Linked DNA regions of Diceros bicornis minor. The protein of the gene in region 1 purifies or fractionates together with the protein of each later gene. This does not show direct contact. Links are inferred from orthologs where the notes say so. Each region holds a gene or a part of one and is shown on either strand. Other genes may lie near its edges. The genes, in order: SRRT and ZC3H18.

What was found.
Region 2: the proteins of SRRT (region 1) and ZC3H18 purify together in Homo sapiens (co-immunoprecipitation; 4 studies listed by BioGRID and IntAct, counting the BioPlex papers as one, with this or other methods). This does not show direct contact. The link is inferred for Diceros bicornis minor from reciprocal best matches to the Homo sapiens genes SRRT and ZC3H18.

Annotation. Positions count from the first base shown.
Region 1 is NC_080765.1:5,028,066-5,037,140, reverse strand, and holds the start of SRRT (serrate RNA effector molecule homolog), read left to right. Parts: upstream 1-5,132; 5' UTR 5,133-5,281; intron 5,282-5,491; 5' UTR 5,492-5,509; coding exon 5,510-5,631; intron 5,632-8,719; coding exon 8,720-8,848; intron 8,849-9,075. Other genes in the region: TRIP6 (thyroid receptor-interacting protein 6), read left to right, coding at 601-709, 987-1,114, 1,200-1,325, 1,610-1,993, 2,314-2,407, 2,523-2,692, 3,120-3,298, 3,562-3,682 and 1 more. UniProt on the Homo sapiens protein: Acts as a mediator between the cap-binding complex (CBC) and the primary microRNAs (miRNAs) processing machinery during cell proliferation.
Region 2 is NC_080771.1:37,022,414-37,031,260, forward strand, and holds the start of ZC3H18 (zinc finger CCCH domain-containing protein 18), read left to right. Parts: upstream 1-5,257; 5' UTR 5,258-5,429; intron 5,430-8,847.

The DNA.
Region 1 (9,075 bases):
TGGGTCTCCGCTCGTGACTTCAGGCTACCTCAGTCTCCCCCTCACCCAACAGACTCACTGACCCCTGAGGTTGTGATATTTGTGTTCTGTTTTATTTTTCTAACTGCTGAACGTGAATAAAAGACCAAAACACTACGGGCTGGCGGAGCACTGCTGGGGGGTGGGTAGATGGGACGGGAGGAGGGAGACATCTGTATGGGGGGATGTGGGAAAGAGGAGCGCCAGAGCGTCCCAGCGTCGAGGTGGCCATGGGCAGGACCTGGGGCGCGGGGCGCAGGGCCTGGGGGACTCGGGGAAATGGAGGCTGCCTGCAGCCTCCCAGACGCCGGCTCCGCGGAAAGCCCTCCCCGCTCAGCAGGAGGGGGCTGACTAGGGAGGGACAGCAGTTTAGGGCCTAGGGGGCCACGTGACCCTCCCCCAGGAATGCGATGATGTCACAGGGGGCGTGGCCATCCCCAAAATTGGGGAGGAAGAGGAAAAAAAGCCAGAAAAAGTTTCTTTCCTGGAGTCCCAAACGAGGGACGGAAGAAGGGGTCAAGGCCAGAGGCTCAGGGCTCCGTGAGGCCCTGACCGCGGTCTGGAGGTCCCCCGTTCCAGGCCATGTCGGGGCCCACCTGGCTCCCCCCGAAGCAGCTGGAGCCCGTCAGAGCCCCTCAGGGGAGAGTGCTCCCCCGGGGCGCCCCGGGGCCGCCACCAGCCCCCGGAGCAGGTAAGGCAGTCCCCAGTGGGCCCAGGAGGCCACCTCTGCCCTGAGGCTCCTGCCTCCTGCCCAGCCTGCCCAGCCGCCCCTTCCCCGGAGCCAGGCTGGGACTAGCCGCCCCTGCCCTCTCGCAGCCCTCCCCACCTCCTGTCCCATTCTCGGAGCCCAGGTGCGGGAGGGGGGGGGTGAGGGGGAGGGGAGACGAGGGACCTAAGAGGGCGTCCTCCACAAGTGTCACCCTCGTCTCCTTCCCCATCTACCCTTCCTCTCTCTTCCCTCACCGCAGCACTCCAGTCCCACCCCAGGGTCAATTTTTGCCGTCTCCCATCTGAGCAGTGTTACCAGGCCCCAGGGGGACCAGAGGATCGGGGGCTGGCCTGGGTGGGGTGCCATGGAGCACCCCAGCGTTCACAGGTGAGAACCGGGATGGGGGGGTGAGGGCAGGGCAGGAGAAGAGGGCCGTGTGATTTGCTTCTCCCTGCTTCTGCTCCATCCTCAGGGGCTCCCCCCAGACAGAGGGGGCTTGCGCCCAGGAAGTCTGGATGCTGAGATAGATTCGCTGACCAGCATGCTGGCTGAGCTGGATGGGGGTCGTGGTCATGCCCCACGGCAGCCTGACCGGCAGGTGACCCCCTGTCCTGCCCCGTCCCTCCTCTGCTCCCTGTCCCCTGTCCCCCCACCCGCCCCCCTAGCCTGGTCCCTTCTCTGGATTCTCAACCCAGTCCACCCCTCACCTCTACCTTGTGGAAGAAGCTGGGCCACCAGAGCTTGCTAGGTTGTCAGCCACTTGAAGGCGGGCCGTTGTCAAAAACCAGCACTTACCTGGGTGCCACACACATGGGTGGGGCATTTCCACAGGTGTGTGTCCTGAATGGGCCCAGCTCACTCCTGGTCTGCGTTTCTCCTCAGGCTTATGAGCCCCCTCAGCCCCCTGCCTACCGCGTGGGCTCCCTGAAGCCGAATGGAGGGGGTGTTCCTTCCCCACCGCTCCCAGCATCCACTTACGGGGGCCCCACTCCGGCCTCCTACACAACAGCAAGCACGCCCGCCGGCCCTGCCTTCCCTGTGCAAGTGAAGGTGGCACAACCAGTGAAAGGCTGTGGCCCCCCCAGGCGGGGGGCCTCTCAGGCCTCCGGGTCCCTGCCGGGCCCCCACTTTCCTCTCCCAGGCCGAGGTGAAGTCTGGGGGCCTGGCTATAGGAGCCACCGAGAGCCAGGGCCGGGAAGTGAAGAGGAGGCTGCCGGGGTCTCTGGCCATGCAGGAGGAGGAAGAGGAGGCGGGTATGGGCCCCCGGTAAGCACCGTGTATGGGGTTTGGGGTCCTCACAGACAACTGGACACTGATTGGGCGGGGTGAGGAGTGGTGTTTAATGTCCTGGTTGTCAGAGGTCTGAGGTGTCGGAGCTCTAGATCCCCGGAGAGTGTGGGCAGGTCAGGAAGTACAGGACGGAGGGGACTGGAGCTGTACCCTGGCTCCCCGAGGTGTGCCGCCTGGACGCTGGGCTGAGACGTTCTCAGATGAGCTTTCTGGGCAGAACTGCCTGGTCACCCTCAGCGATTTTCACAGGGTCAGGAGCTAGAGGTAGGGCCGAACCCCTGATTCTCACTTCCCAGGTGCCCCTGAGCCAGCCTCCCGAGGAGGAGCTTGAGAGGCTGACCAAGAAGCTGGTGCATGACATGAACCACCCGCCCAGCGGGGAGTACTTCGGTGAGCTGACCCCACCGGTGGGGTGGGAAGGGGGAGGTGGGGCTAGAGAGTCAGAGGGACAGCCGATCCAGCTTCCTAGCTTGTGCAGATTGACCCTGTCCCTCCCTGTCCCCAGGCCGGTGTGGCGGCTGCGGAGAAGATGTGGTTGGGGATGGGGCTGGGGTTGTGGCCCTGGACCGCGTCTTTCACGTTGGCTGCTTTGTGTGTTCTACGTGCCGGGCCCATCTTCGGGGCCAGCATTTCTATGCTGTGGAGAGGAGGGCATATTGTGAGAGCTGCTACGTGGTGAGTGGTTGGGGTGGGGGGCTTCCATCCAAGGTGGGAACTAGATGTCCAAGCCCCAAAGAGGAACAGGACTCGAAGGTAGGGGACTAAAACTGATGTACAAGAAGAATGGAGGACTTAAGTAGCTAAATACTGCCTGCTGGAGGGAAGGACCACAGTCCCTTTACAAGTGTGAGGCATTTATTTTAGAGTTAAGGAAAGTGTTAAATTCCCACCATACCCCTGTGAGGCAGATATTACTACTGAAGGAAACTGAAGCTCAGAGTGGTTAAATAACTTGTCCATGAAGCTGCATTGCTGAGACTTGCCACCTTTCACTGAATCGCACGCAGGTGGATACACGAACAGATGGTTGGGCTGGCAGGATGCTTGTGGGGCTGCCATGGGTCACCCCAGCCCTCAACCTTCCTCCCTTCCTTCCCAACAGGCCACCCTGGAGAAGTGCTCCACATGCTCCCAACCCATCCTAGACCGGATCCTGCGGGCTATGGGGAAGGCCTACCATCCTGGCTGCTTCACCTGTGTGGTGTGCCACCGCGGCCTCGATGGCATCCCTTTCACGGTGGATGCCACCAGCCAGATCCACTGCATTGAGGACTTCCACAGGTCAGGCTGGGTCCCCCACCTTTGTCTCAGGATGTCTGGCCTTTCCTATCTTCCTCCTCTCTCCTTAATGTCTCAGTACCAGCCTCTCCTGTTTCCCACCCCTAGCCATGTCTCATTTTTGTTAACGTCACTCTCATCCCCAAGATCCAAGACCACACCTCTGGCCTCTGCTGTTCCCTCCTGCATCCCACCTTCTCAGGACTCCCTTGTTAGTATTCTCCAAGCCTGTGGCTTGACAGCCTCCTGGTTCCCTTCCACCCCAGGAAGTTTGCCCCACGATGCTCAGTGTGTGGTGGGGCCATCATGCCTGAACCAGGTCAGGAGGAGACGGTGCGAATTGTTGCTCTGGATCGCAGTTTTCACATTGGCTGTTACAAGTGTGAGGTCAGGGAGCCTGGGCGATGGGAAAAGAGGTTCTCAGGGTCTGGGGTCCTGGGTATGGTAGAGCACAAGGGACAAGGAACCCAGGGGTCTGGGCCTGATGGAAAGCTGTTGCCTCTTTTCACACAGGAGTGTGGGCTGCTGCTGTCCTCTGAGGGTGAGTGTCAGGGCTGCTACCCACTGGATGGGCACATCTTGTGCAAGGCCTGCAGTGCCTGGCGCATCCAGGAGCTCTCAGCCACCGTCACCACCGACTGCTGAGTCTTCCTAGAAGCACCTGCTGTGTTCTCCTCCGTTCCCAGGGACCACGCTCCCTGACAACTACCTTTACAGCCTTGTCATCAAGGCTCTTCCTCCAATCGTGAAATAACAATCCCTCAAGAGTTTACAAAACACTTTGAAGTCTGTTGTCTCATCTGATTTTCACCGCAGCCCAACACAAGCACGATTGTTGCGACTGTCTGTATTTTTAGCTGGGAAGTGACTTCCCCACACTGCATGCTTCCCAAATGGCAGAACCAAGATCAGAACCTGGTCTTCTTAGTCTTAGTCCAGTTTCTTGTAACTCTACTATACACTCTTTTTAATGTAGTTTGGTGTAAGGACACCCCTCCTCTCGGTGCTGGGAGCAAGGCTGCAGCAGCACGCTCTGGGGAGGCAGTATTTCCTAGTCTTAAGTCTTTACACTCAGTTCACTGAACAGGACGTGGTATCCCTGTGGTGTTATTTAACCTGGGGCAAGCAAAATCCTGCCTATTGGTAGGGAGCTCAACCTACAACCTGTCTCATCAAAGTACTGATTGGGAATAAGACTGAGATTTGCCAGTTTTGCTCAAAGACGGGGCGCCTTTCTCGAAGAAGAGCAGGAACAAGGGGTTTCGCAGGTAGCGTGTACGGAGGCACCAACAAAAGCTGGTTATCTAGTGGGAGCACAAAATGGTGGGAGGAGATGCTTTAAAATGGTTGCTCGATCTCGTTAAGCCAATGCATTCGCCAAGCCCCTGCCCTGCTCACGGAGAGGGGCGAAACCACCCAGGAGGAGGTCAGGAGGCGCCCAGAGGAAGGTGAGGCGGGGTGCGCAAAGGCTGGATGGAAACTGGAAGAGGCTCCGGACAGAGCCAGGGAATCCCAGCCTTCGACCTCGGCCCGAGCAAGATCTGCTTCACGCCCAGAGGGCTCTACCGCCCTCTCGAGGCCATGCTTGGTCCAGCCGGCTTCCCGTAGTTCCTCTCGCTCCCGCAGTTCTCGTCCTGGAAAGCGCGCGAGACTTCCGGGGCCCCGCCCCTTCCCGTCATGCCCCGGTGCTCCCCGTCTCTCCGTCTTTGGTTTAGTTCCAGTTCTGGCCGCGAGTGGGGCGGGGCTTTTGTGGTTCGAGGCGCTCTGCTGCCGGTGACGCAGGCGCAGCGCGAGCGGCGCGCGCCGACCGCCTATCGTCGCTGTCCCACTTTCTTCGCATCTCCTCAGCCCCCTCGCTGAGACACCCGCGTCTCCCTCTCACTCTCCTCGCCGTCCTCGCCGCGTGCCCGAGGCCAGAGGCGGGCCCAGGTCGCCCGGAAAACCAGCCCGCCCGAGCGCGAGACTAACGGCCGCGGCCGCTCCCAGGTGGGGGAGGGGAGGGCCGGAGGGAGAGGGGCCCGGGGCTGGCGGGGGGCCCGTGGGGGCGAGTGCAGTGTCGGGGCAGAGGGCTTAGGATGGCGGGGACAGCGGCCGGTTGGCCTTTGCGGAGCGGGGCGGGCGTGCTGCTGCGGATGGGAGAGCCTTCCCTCCTCCCGGCATTGTTCGATACACTGATGGCCCCTGTCTGGGCTCCAGGCCCCCTGCGACCGCGCCATGGGTGACAGTGATGACGAGTATGATCGTAGACGCAGGGACAAGTTTAGAAGAGAGCGCAGCGACTATGACCGTTCCCGGGAAAGAGATGAAAGACGTCGAGGGGACGACTGGAATGACCGGTGAGACGCTGCTTTTCCTCAGTTTTGTGCCCCTGTCTCATTCTGTTGTACTCCACTCTCATGGCGTTGCGTTTATAATTTTATCAGGGCGAACCATGTGAAATCGCTCATTCTTGACGGTTGCATGTGGTTCAACCTATTTGCTGTTGGCGGAAGAGTTAGGTATGGCTTGATGTTTGAAATGTCCAGAAGATCAAAGCAATAGAGCTAAGAGAGTTTGAGTATGAAAAAGCAATATTTATACATGTATTAAAAATGTGTGCATTTTAGTGTTTGTAGATTATACCTCGAAAAGTTTGATTCAAAAAAAAAGCAATATAGAATTGCCTTTAACTGGTGAGGTTGTCAGGCCAGTTCCCTGGCAGAATGTGATTAAATTTCTTGTAATTGTTTTGGCTAACATCAGAGTTTTGGATGCTAATGGTTGGGTTAATTGATTAGGTTTGACTGGCTAGTGATTAGTTTTCTGGGATGTTTTTGAGTTAATTACAGTTAAGGTGTTTCCTTAACTATAACATAAGAAACATCTAATGTGGTTTCAAATAAAGTAATCAAGATAAGAGGAACCGTGGCAGATTTTTTTAATCTAAAGGGCATCACAAATATCCAGTCAGTGAGCTGATGGCACTGGCTCAATTTGGATACAGATTACCAGAAAAAAAGAGTTTGAGGTGACTTATTGTGATAACATTTATTCCTTCAGTATCATTTTGAAAAATGAGTAAATCAGTCAGTCTGTCAGTGAGTCTCTTCTCTGTGGACGCTCCATGTGGCACTTTGTTCCTTGGTATTTTCTACGAAAGTCAGAAGAAAATCAAAGGTGCTCTTCTGAATTCTGAAGATGGATGAGATGTGGTTATTACCCTTAAGGAGTTTACAGTTTGGGGCTTGGAGTCAGGGGCAAAATGGCCTTGGGTGTATGCTGCAAATGAGTATATATGAGAGATCATTATAAAGATGGTAAGTGTTGAGGGAACAGATTTTCCAAGGGAAAAAAAGAGGAGAGCTACAGGAAAGCGACACTTAGCAAGACTTGGAAAGATGAGTGGGAATTCCCCAGACACAAGTGGCGTGAACAGCTTGGAATTGGGGACATAATGCCGTGTGCAGAAAAGAGCACATATTCTAATATTTTGAGAGTAGTGGTTCTCAGAGTGTGGCCCACACACTGTAGGGGATCTGTGAGGTTACAACTGTTGTTATAGTAACACTAGGTAGTGTCGTTTTCACCGTAGTGACATTTGCACGTGTGATGCTATAGCATTGGCGAATTAAACTGCTGACGCCTTTGCACCAATCCAGTTTCACTTAATGTCCTTGATGAAGCAGTGAAAATTTTTAATGTTATTAAATTGGGTTCTTGACTGTACATCTTTTTAATACACATGATGGATGAGAAGGATGCATAAAGTACTTCTGCATATAGGAGTACAGTGGTCACCCTGAGGAATAGTATTTGTGGGATCGAGTTGTGAGCTGAACTAACAATATTTTTTTTCCTGGAATGCCAGTTTTACCTGAATGAAAGACTGTCAAACAGTGGTTATTCATATTTGGGTATTTGACAGACATTTTCTTGAAAACAAACTAAGAGAATCTGTTACTGCAAGGAAAATTGTCAGTTTTGTTGCCAGTGAGGAAGTGGAACTTTCCAGTGAAAACTAAAATTTTGGAAAACTTGTATCTACCAATGTGAGCTTGAGAGCTTCCCCTTACTTAAAGACTCTTCTGATGAGATACGAAGTGATACTAATGAGTATGATGTTTTGATATTATATAAAAAGATGTGTCAAGATCCATTCAAAGAGCAAGATAGAACAATAGATTTTAATGTACCAGAGTACAAAATGTTCATTGATACGGTTTCAGATTCAGCATTGCAACTAGCCCTTAAGAAGCTATTTCTCAAGCTTTGGGTAGTACGGAAGAATATCGCCAGTTATCTGAAAAGGCTATTCAAGTATTCCCTTTTCCAGCTACATATCTGTGAGGCCAGATTTTCTTCATATTTTTCAACCAAACACCATATTATAACAGATTGTATGTAGAAGCAGATATGAGACTCCAGCTGTCTCTCTTAAGCCAGACCTTGAAAAGAGTTGTAAATGAAACACAATGCCAGTTTTTTCACTGAAATTTTTTTGGAAAATAGCCATTTTTCATAAAATGATGTAGTTTATGTTAATATTTAACGTCAAAATTAATAGGTGTTAATTTTTTCTATTCCAATTTTGAATACAGTATTCACATGTGGTTAGAATACTGGGTAGATAGAACCCACATAAGCAAAAACTCTTTAATCTTCAACACTTTTTAAGAGTGTAAAGGGATCCCAAGACCAAAAAGTTTGAAAACCACTGGGTTAGAGCAAGGATGTTCTTTTTTATTTTGTGAAGATGGGGATGGAGGTGGCTGGTGACTGGTGGAGAGCCTGAAATAACACCCAGGAACAAAGGTTTTGAACAGTGTTGTGTATTTAAGCAAGGGTATGGCATGAGCAGATTTGTGTTTGAGAAAATTCACTTTGACCGTAGAGAAGGGGCAGAGACCAGAGCAGGAAAGCAAAACCAGTGCTGCAGTTGTAGGAGAAACGATCAGGACCAGGCACGCAGGCTAGGGCAGAGTGTGTGGGGATGGCGAGGAAGAGGACAGCTTTAATAGGCTTTGAGACAGGGGATTAACAAGCCCGTAACAAATTAGTGGTGAGGGTGACACTTGATAACTGGATACGTGGTGATATGTTGATATAACCGAGAGTGGGAAAGGAGGATGGAAGCAGATTCGGGCCCATAGTGGTAGAAATAATAGGCTCAATTCTGACACGCAATGGCCGTCTAGTGGGGAATTGTTGATGTTGGTCTGGAGCTCAGGAAAAAGGCCAGGCTGGAGGGAGGGACAGTTGGAGAGTTATCAGTTTGTGGGTAATGGCTACAGTGATGGAAGTAGGCAAGAGTCCTTCTGTTTAGAGAGTAGTTTTATCATTTTAGGCTTTTAGTCTGGTGTCTCAGATAGGACAGGAAGGGCCTGTCCAGGAGTGTAACCTCGGGATATCCAGCTGTGCCTTACTGTTACCTGTCCTGATCGCCAGAGAGTGGGACCGTGGCCGGGAGCGCCGCAGTCGGGGTGAATATCGTGACTATGACCGGAATCGGCGAGAGCGCTTCTCTCCTCCCCGCCATGAGCTCAGCCCCCCGCAGAAGCGCATGAGACGAGACTGGTGAGATGGCAGCAGTGTCCCTGTCTTCTCTCTTTGGGCTCAGTTCCACTTGGGCCTCAGCTGTCTTCCCTCACTTCTGCTGAGAACTTTGTGTGTCATTTCCTTTTTTCAAACTTCCTGTAAACCCATCTTCTTGTCCCTTTAAACCCTTGGGTGAGAGACCATATTCCAAATGCCCCCCCGCCCCCATCACATTCTCCTTCGTGCTCTGGAGAGATGATTCCTTC
Region 2 (8,847 bases), on another chromosome or scaffold:
ACTTGTTAAAAACTAAGACACAAACACACACATTAGCCTAGGCCTGCACAGGGTCAGGATCATCAATATCCTGTCTTCCTTCTCCGCATTTTGTCCCACTGGAAGGTCTTCAGCGGCACTAACATACATGCAGCTGTCATCTCCTATGATAACAATGCCTTCTTCTAGAATACCTCCTGAAGGACCTGCCTGAGGCTCTTCTTGAGGAGATGTCACTCTTTTCAGATATATGTCCATGGTGGTTTGCTTGGTGTTTCTTTTTCATCATAGATTTGCTTGTAAGCAGACAATGCACTGTGAATATTCCTCTCTATTAGTGAAAACTTTTTGGTATTGGTGTCTGTGTTTTCAAATCTTTAGGAGTTTGTTGAGGTCTGCAAAAGCTTCTGCTAAAGCCTTCACTGTGAATTTTCTTGGAGGTTGTTCTTCTCCCACAGTTTCCCCTTCTCTTGCCTCTTCTTCAGCTATGTGCTCCTGTTCCGTTTCCAACAACTCCTTGTTAGTCAATTCCTCAGGAACCACCTCTAGGAGCTCCTCAATGTCAGCCTCACCCACACCCAGGTTCAAGTTGTTTGCCATCTCAACCACAGCCGTGTTGATTTTTTTTTCTCAAAGTTTACTTATCTAAAGCATCTTCTAATATTAAGTTCTATGGATCTGTCTTTTCTTTTTTTTTGAGGGAGATTGGCCCTGAGCTAAGATCTGTTACCTATCTTCCTCCTTTTTCCTTTTTTTTTCCCTCCCCAAAGCCCAGTAGATAGTTGTATGTCATAGTTGCACATCCTTCTAGTTGCTCTATGTGGGAGGCAACCTCAGCATGGCTTGATGGGCAGTACATAGGTTCGCACCCAGGATCCAAACCGGCAAACCCTGACTGCCAAAGTGGAGCACATGAACTTAACCATTATGCCAATGGGCCAACCCCCCTTGTTGATTTTTGCAACCTCCTCATCCTTGCTAAAACCTTTGAAGTTATGGATGAACCTCTTCAGTGTCTTCTTCTAGATGCCATCATGCACTCCTTAGTGACATTACTTCAACCCCAAGCAAGGTTCTTGATGCAATCATAGATGTTGTAATCTTTCCAGAATTGTACCAGTGTCTTCTCAGTGTCTACCTCAGTTGCAGCAATAGCCTGCAAAGGTCCTCCTCAGGTAGGTGGTCTTAAAAGCTGCTATAACTCCTTGATCCATTGGTTGGATCTAAGAGGTGGTGTTTCAAGGAAGAAACACCCCTTTGATATTGGCATGAAGATCACTAATAAAAGGAGGATGTCTGGGATCATTATCAACAATAAGAAAATTCTTGAAAGATATCTTATTCTCCAAAAAGTACTTCTCCATTTCACTGGCACAGCAATTCAGGAGGGCATCCTGGAAGAGGAGCTGGGCCATCCGTGACTTCTTATTGCTCCTGTAGTGCACTCGCAGTGTGTGCTTACTGACACACTTGTATGCCAGATCACAAACAGTTTCAACTTGTAGCCTGCAACACTGCCCCCAAGCAAGACTGTTATCCTATCATTAAAAGCCTTGAAACCTGGCATTGACTTGGCCTCCTTATGGATGAAAGTCCTTTCAGGCATCTGTTTCCAGAATAGGGAAGTTTCATCCATGGTGAATATTTGCTCTGGCAAGCAGTTTTCCTCCACAATAAGCTTATCCAGAGTTTCCAAAAATTCTTCAGCTGCCTTCACATCAGCGCTTGCAGACTTACCCCTCACTTTCACATTATGTAATGAACAATGATTCCTGAATCATTCAAACCACCCAGAGCTAGCAGTTAATTCAACATCATAGTCAGGTCCAGCCTTTTCTTTCAACGTCGCAAACAAACTTTTTGCTTTGGCCATGACTGTCATGATACTGAGAGGGATGCACTTCGGTGTCTGGTCTTCAATCCAGGTCATTAGAAGTTTTTCCATGTCTGATATAGGCTCTTCTCAAATTTTTGCTAGTCTCATTGCCTTCAATGAAGTAGATCCTTTAACAGCTTCTGTCACTTTGTTCTCGTTCTTCAAGATCATAGCTAGTCCTGAAGATGGAATGGGACATGCCTGACTGGCGAGCAATAATCATCACTGATTTTCCACCTTTGTGTTCTTTAATCACTTTTAATTTTGCTTCCAGGTCAATCATTTGACGTGGCCTCTTACTGGCAACATTAGTAGTGGATTTTGTACACTCAGGGGCCATGATGAAGAAAAGAATAAGAGATTAAATCAAGCACAAGAGAAAATGATGCAATCAAGATACATGGTAAGCACGAGACATATGAGGCTACTGCCAGCGACAGCTCACCATTTTACAGCAAACCTTTTTTCTAGGTAGAAAGAGCACACTCTAAAATAACAATACAAAGTATAGTATAGAAAATACATAAACCAGTGACATAGTCATTTATTATCAACTATTATGTACTATACATAATTTTATGTGCTATACTTTTATATGACTGGCAGCACAGTAGGTTTGTTTACACCAGCATCACCACAAACGTGGGAGTAATTTGTTGCACTACGACCTTACGACAGCTACGTCACCAGGTAATAGGAATTTTTCAGCTCCATTATAATCTTATGGGACCACCATCATATATGTGTTGACAGAAACGTCATCATGTGGTGCATGACTGTACATAAAATCAGCAAGTGTGCCAGAAGGTGGTGCACTCAGCTCTTTGGATATAAAGGATTCCGTTTGAACAAAATTTTATTCATCCAAGGCCTCCCACTGGACCAAGCCCTGCCTGAATTGGACCCAGTCCAGCTCAAGTCGGACCCAGTGTGATCCTGGACCCAGTCTGGTTTTTAAGTTGGACCCAATCTGACTCTGGTAGTAACCACCACCAATACCCATGGAATTTTGACAAAGCAGTCTGAAAGGCTAGAGGCTTGGCTCTGGGCAGAACCTCAAGCTGACCTGCCCTGTAAAGGAAAGCCACTTAGATCAAGAGCTGGAGGCAAAGACTGCATAGCGCAAACTGAGAGGAACTCACCAATGGCCCTCAGAAATGGCGAGAAAGACAGAAGAACTCAAAGGGTTCTCAGGCACCACGCCTGTGTTTCTTGCTATTCCCAAAGCTGCTGGAAGTCTCCTTCGGTTGTGCTGCTGCCACCAAATCTGTTAATGAACAAAAATTCAACCTTGTCAATTTAAATATCTGATTGGGTTTATTCAATGACTCATGAATCGGGCAGCATCCCATCTAGCAAGCAGAGAGTTGTTGAAATGGAAGGTATTGATAGGCAGAAACTGGGCGGGACAAGAAAGTTACTAGCAAACAAAAAAGAAAGGATTGTTTCAGGCAAGGTCAACTTTCTTTGGGGGAAGGGCTCAGGGGTCTTATCAGATGACCTCACTAGTGTTGACCAGGATTTTCCAGACTGATCCTTTAAGGTCACATTCCTGGGAGGGGCTGAAACTGCAATTAAGTCCTGGTTTGCTGACTCCAGCTTGGGCCTGTTTCTTTTTTCAACACCATTTAGCAGTCACCCCCCATTCCACCTCCTTCCAGGCCCGGTAACCACTACTCTACTTTCCGACTCTATGGATTTGCCTCTTCTGGATATTTCATGTAGATGGAATGTGTTAGTCAACTCGGGCTGCCCTAACAAAATACCATAGACTGGGAAGCTTAAACAACAGAAATTTACTTTCTCACAGTTCTGGAGCCTGGAAGTCCAAGATCAGGGTGCCAGCGTAGCAGGGGTCTGGCCAGAGCTCTCTTCTGGCTTGCAGATGCTGCCTTCTTGTGTCCTCACACAGTGGAGGTGGGGTGGGGAAGGGAGAGACAGAAGGGGGGGGTCTCTCTCTGTTATCTCTTCTTATAATGACTTCATTCCTTTCTATGGCTTAATAGTTATTCCACTGTATACTTAGAACACATTTTGTTTATCCGTTCATCCGGGCGTGGACATCTAGGTTGTTTCCACTTTGAGGCTACTGTGAACAGTGCTGCTGCCAACATTTGTGCTCTGGTTTTGTCTAGATACGTGTCATTTCTCTTGGGTTAGACACCAAGGAGTGCATTAGCTGTGTTAATACCTTCATTTCTTCCCCTGCTCATTCATTCATTCGGAAAACATGGAGCAAACATTTATGAGTTCATTCAACCTCACCATGTGCTGGACATTATATTTGTGGGCTGAATGGAGGCAGGCTGCCCCAAGGAGGAGCCCTTCTTAGTACTGCACATTTCCTGGAGGAGGAAGATGGGGTGAGGAAAGGCCTGCTCTGCTCACCATTCCCCAAAACCCTTAGATACCCCCAGAACAGGCTATATAAGTTGCAGGGTCCAGTGCAAAATGAAAACATGGGCCCCTTGTTCAAAAATGACTAAGAATTTTAAGGTGGGGAAAGCAGGTCATTCAACCGAGCTCGGAACCCTTCTAAGTGCGAGTTTCTCATCTCTAAAATGGAGAGCACACTGTGTGATCCTCTGCAGCGTGGCTCCAGGAGGCTCCACCCTGAGGGTCTGTGAAGGTAGTTGTAGAGCTGTAAAAATGCTCCAAGTATCACATGATGTCCTTCTGATCACGGAAAGGTTACATCGGGTTAAGCTGATCACATTTAGTAAGATGCGGAGCTATCCAGTCCGATGGAAATAGTTTAAAACTTTAGCTTTGATATTTAAACTCTATCTCAAAAATGATTAATTTTGTGTTGAGCTGATTATATTTAATACAGCTGGAGCTATTTAGTCCCACGTAAATAGTTAAAAATTATAAGCTGTGATATTTAAACTCAATATTTCAAAAAACAATTAATTCTTGTGTTGAGCTGATTATTTTTAAGAAAGTGGAAATAGTTAAAAATGTTTAAGCTTTGGCATTTAAACTCCATATCTCAAAAATGATTAATTTGTCGGGCGGTAGCTCCTTACTCCCACAGAAGGAGTTAAAATGCAAGCTCTGAGGCTTAAACCACCTTCGTTGCAGAAGGTCCACCGTCCCACTCACCGCACGACTCCGCCACGCGGGAATCGGCTGCTCCGCGCGTCACGTGACCTCGCGGCCCGTCATGTGACCGCGCGGCGCGCTGACCCTCCCCGCAGGCGTCGTCCGGCGGCCGGCGGCGCGCGGGCTCGGAGACCCGCCCCCGGGAGCGTGGCCTCTGGCGGCGCCTGCGCCGTGGAGGGGCGGGCGCGCGCGCCGCGCGGGCGGGGCCGCGCGGTGGGGCCGCACGGAAGCCGGAAGGAAGCGGGCGGAGGGCGGGGCGGGCGAGGGAAGCCCGCCGGCCCGGAGGACGGCGGTCGCGGCCTGATGACGTCGCACAATGGCCGGCCCCCGCGGGTAGTGCAGCCCGTTTGTTCCGCCCGCGTCGCGCCTGGAGCCGGAGACTGTGAGGAGCGGAAGGGCCGAGGGACGCCTTCCCCGCGCCGTCCAGACCCCAGCGGAGCCGTGGCCCCCTCCCCGCCCTCGCGCTGAGGTAAGCGGCGGCGGCGGCGGGAGCCGGGCCGGTGGGGAGGGGAGGCCGAGACGGCCGGGCGGGGAGCGTGGCGGCGGCGCGGAGCCCAGGCCCGGGAGCCCCGCCGCCGCCGCCTCCGGGGAGCGCTCCGGGCTGCGCCCCCGGCCGAAGCGTGGCTCTCGGGCCCCGGGAAGGGGCCGTGAGAGCGGCACGATCCCGCGCTCCGTCCGCGGCGAGCCAGCCCAGAGCCCTGGACCCCTCGGAACTCGAGCCCCGCGCGGCTGCCTTGGCGCCCTGCCGTGGAGTTGGTTCTCCCGGAGCTGTCATTTCTCTTCCGGGACGTTCGCGGGGCACATGTTTGCCGCCCGCAGGGGGGGCACGCGGGTCGGCCCTCAGAGGAGGCCGGCCGGGCTGTCGATGGGCTCTTAGGGAACTTTGAGCTCGCTGGAGCCTCCTGGAGCTTGCTCCCTCGACGTCACAGTGTGCACAGGTTGGACGCGCTGGCTGTGCCCCAAGACGCGCGCCACTCTCTTAGGATGTGAAACTTTCCTGCGCCTTTGGTCAGAAGCCGGAGGAATGATGCCGGGTCCTTGGGATAAACTACTGCAGCTGTGATGCTGGGCGAACCTGAGTGGGAGACTGCCAGTCTTGCTCCTGCTAAGACTTAACTTTTCCTGAATACTTTATGACGGCCGACTTTGCTGGGTAGGCTGGTTGATCACTTTAAATGAGCTTTGTCCAGCAAACTCATTTGCAAGAGTAGGTCAGACTTCAGATGCGTTTGGGGAAAAAGGAAGAGGAGGGTGTTTGACATCCGAAGTACTGTTTGGGAGCGTAGCAATGGCTCTCATCCTTTCTTCTTAGAGACTCACCTTCATCATAGTTCCCGCAGAGTGGTCCTTTCCCAGAACCGAGGTTGGGATTCAGGGTGAGCCTGGACCCAGGCTGATTCCCACCTCCAAGCCCTGGGAGGGGAGTCTGTCTGACAGTTTTACAATCTGAGCACGTATGTAGCCCACCCAACTATGGAAACCAATGGTATGTGTCCCAAAGGCTGGAACTCATCTCCAGTTTGGGGTGGGAAATGCTCAAACATTGTAAGAAAGCTTTGTGGAATCATTTCAGAGGGCAAACAAGTAAGCTGTGGCCTTGCTCACGTTTAAAGAGGTTTTTTGTTTACTTTTTCACAGCTACATATCGTCTCAATGTGAGACTTACTTGGGGAATTTTTGGTAGTCAAGCTTAGTCATTTTGGGGGTGCTGTCACCAGCCTTGACATCCTTCCTTTGGATGTTGTAAATCCATGAAGTTATGAACCAGGACTTTAACCAGCTGTACCAGAACTGAAGCATTCAAATAGGGTCTGCTCTGTTGAAGGTCGTTATCCCAGAAGGGTACCTTGCATTTCACTGGTGCTCCTTTGCCAAAACCTCTTTAGAACTCCCGTTTTGGTAGTAAATATATAAGCGTATGAGAAAATCAATCTCATTCAATAGTCACACCCCATGTTTGACCAAAAATTGTCTTATCTGGCTTGGTAATTCACCTCACCACCTCTGAATGGCTTCCTGTGCTTTCTCAAAGTGACCCACCTTGAGGAAGACTTGCTGCCACTGAGAGCGCCAAGAGAGTGTTCTACAGGTCACTCAAAGAGAGAGGTTCCCAAAATGTTCTGTGCTTTAGCAGTGCCATTGGAATCAATGTGCAGCCTTCCGGAGTGACGGCTGGGAAATGAGACAGCCCCACTCTGCATCTGAGTTCTGGTATAGTCTTCTAAAACTGGCACTTCTTTCAGATATTTCTGGTAAGCGACAGGTAGTTTATCAAGTCACGAGATTTTCTCATTTATTCATTCGTTTATTCAACAAGCATTTATTAATCACTGTCTGCCAAATGCAGTAGGCAGTGGAGACACAAGGATGGACACTCATTATTCCATCTTGGGGATCAGAGGACTAAAGGGTGCGCAGTTTTGCCGGGAGTGGGTGCAGGCGGTTGTATGAGAGCTGTGAGCCTGGGAGTGGTGAAGACATGGCCAGACCTCCATTTCGTTTTCTACACTTAAGAGGCCACAGGTTTCTCCCAGCACCTGACAGAGAGCACCCACTTAAATATTTGCCAAGTTGAATTAATTTCACAACAGGGCAGACATCCAGAGAGACAATTAACCTGCCCAGAGCGGGCCTGGAACAGAAGCCACCTTCTGACTCCAGTGACACTTCTCCTCTTCTGCACAGCAAGGTGTGACTCAGGGTGCTTCTAATAAACAGGTAGATTCTTCGGCTTGTTTTCTTCTGCAAGGTGTTCAGTTCTGTGCAGCTTCGGATTATGAAATCCCAAGAGGTTCCATAGGGAGAGAAGAGATGTGACTCCTTTCCTCAGGAAATTGTCAGGACATACAGTGACTATGTCCCAGTATGTCTAGGACAGCTCCTGATCATGCCTGTGTGGCTGTTAATGCCCCCTTTCAGTCTCAAGCGTGTCCCAGTTTAGACAGTCAGTTTTGTGGTAGCTCTGCTCCTAAGTGCCAGCCACTTGCTGAGTTAGGGGAGCACAGAGGTGAGTGTGAGCCCTTCCGCTCAGGCACTTCATGGGAGCTGAGGGAGTCTCGCAACAGACTTTGCAAACAGATTGCAAACAGTCGCAGTACAGTGTGGTAAGTATGGATACATAATAGACAAATGGACAGTATGCCTAGGGCAAGAGTTCTTAATCTGGGGCCTATGAGTGGACCTCAGGAGGTTTTGAACTCCCTAAAGTGGAAGATAAATTGCATATGTCCAGGTTTTTCTAGGCAGAGGAGCCATCTCCTTCATCCCATTCTCAGAGCAGTCCATGCTTTCGCAAAGGCTGATTGAGCACCGCTGACAGAGCTCTAGGCCCCCCTTGATGGTGCTAGGTGCACTCAGGACCGTAGGCTCTGCCACCTTCTGGTCAGCGCTGAGAACTGCCTGTGAGAGTTGGGAAGTTACCTTTGCGTCCTTGGAATGTCGAAGTGATTTCCGTAATTCAAACTGTGGAGGGCATGCGGGCTCAATAAAATTCTTGAAATTATTTCCCATGCCACAATACACCAGCCTTTCAGGATCTTAATTTAAGTCAGCACTTCCTGTGGTGTTAGTATAAAGGTGTGCACCTTTTGGGGGTTTCTTTTATTGGATTCATGTTTGGTGTAAGTGCCTAAGATTCAAACTTCAGACAAGTTCAAAATCATAAAATAAATGACTGTTGTTACAAGTCGAATCTCCATGTGATGATCACCATTTTTAACTAATAGTTTACACAGATCATATAGTAACTTTTCCATCTGTATGAAAATGTGTGTTTTGGGTTCTAGAAGGGCTAGGATAGCAGTGTAGATGGACCAGCAGAACACTTTAGAAGGGAGAAGAGAACAACAGGCAGAATCTACTGGTTCAGTACAAGTCCCCAGTTTATG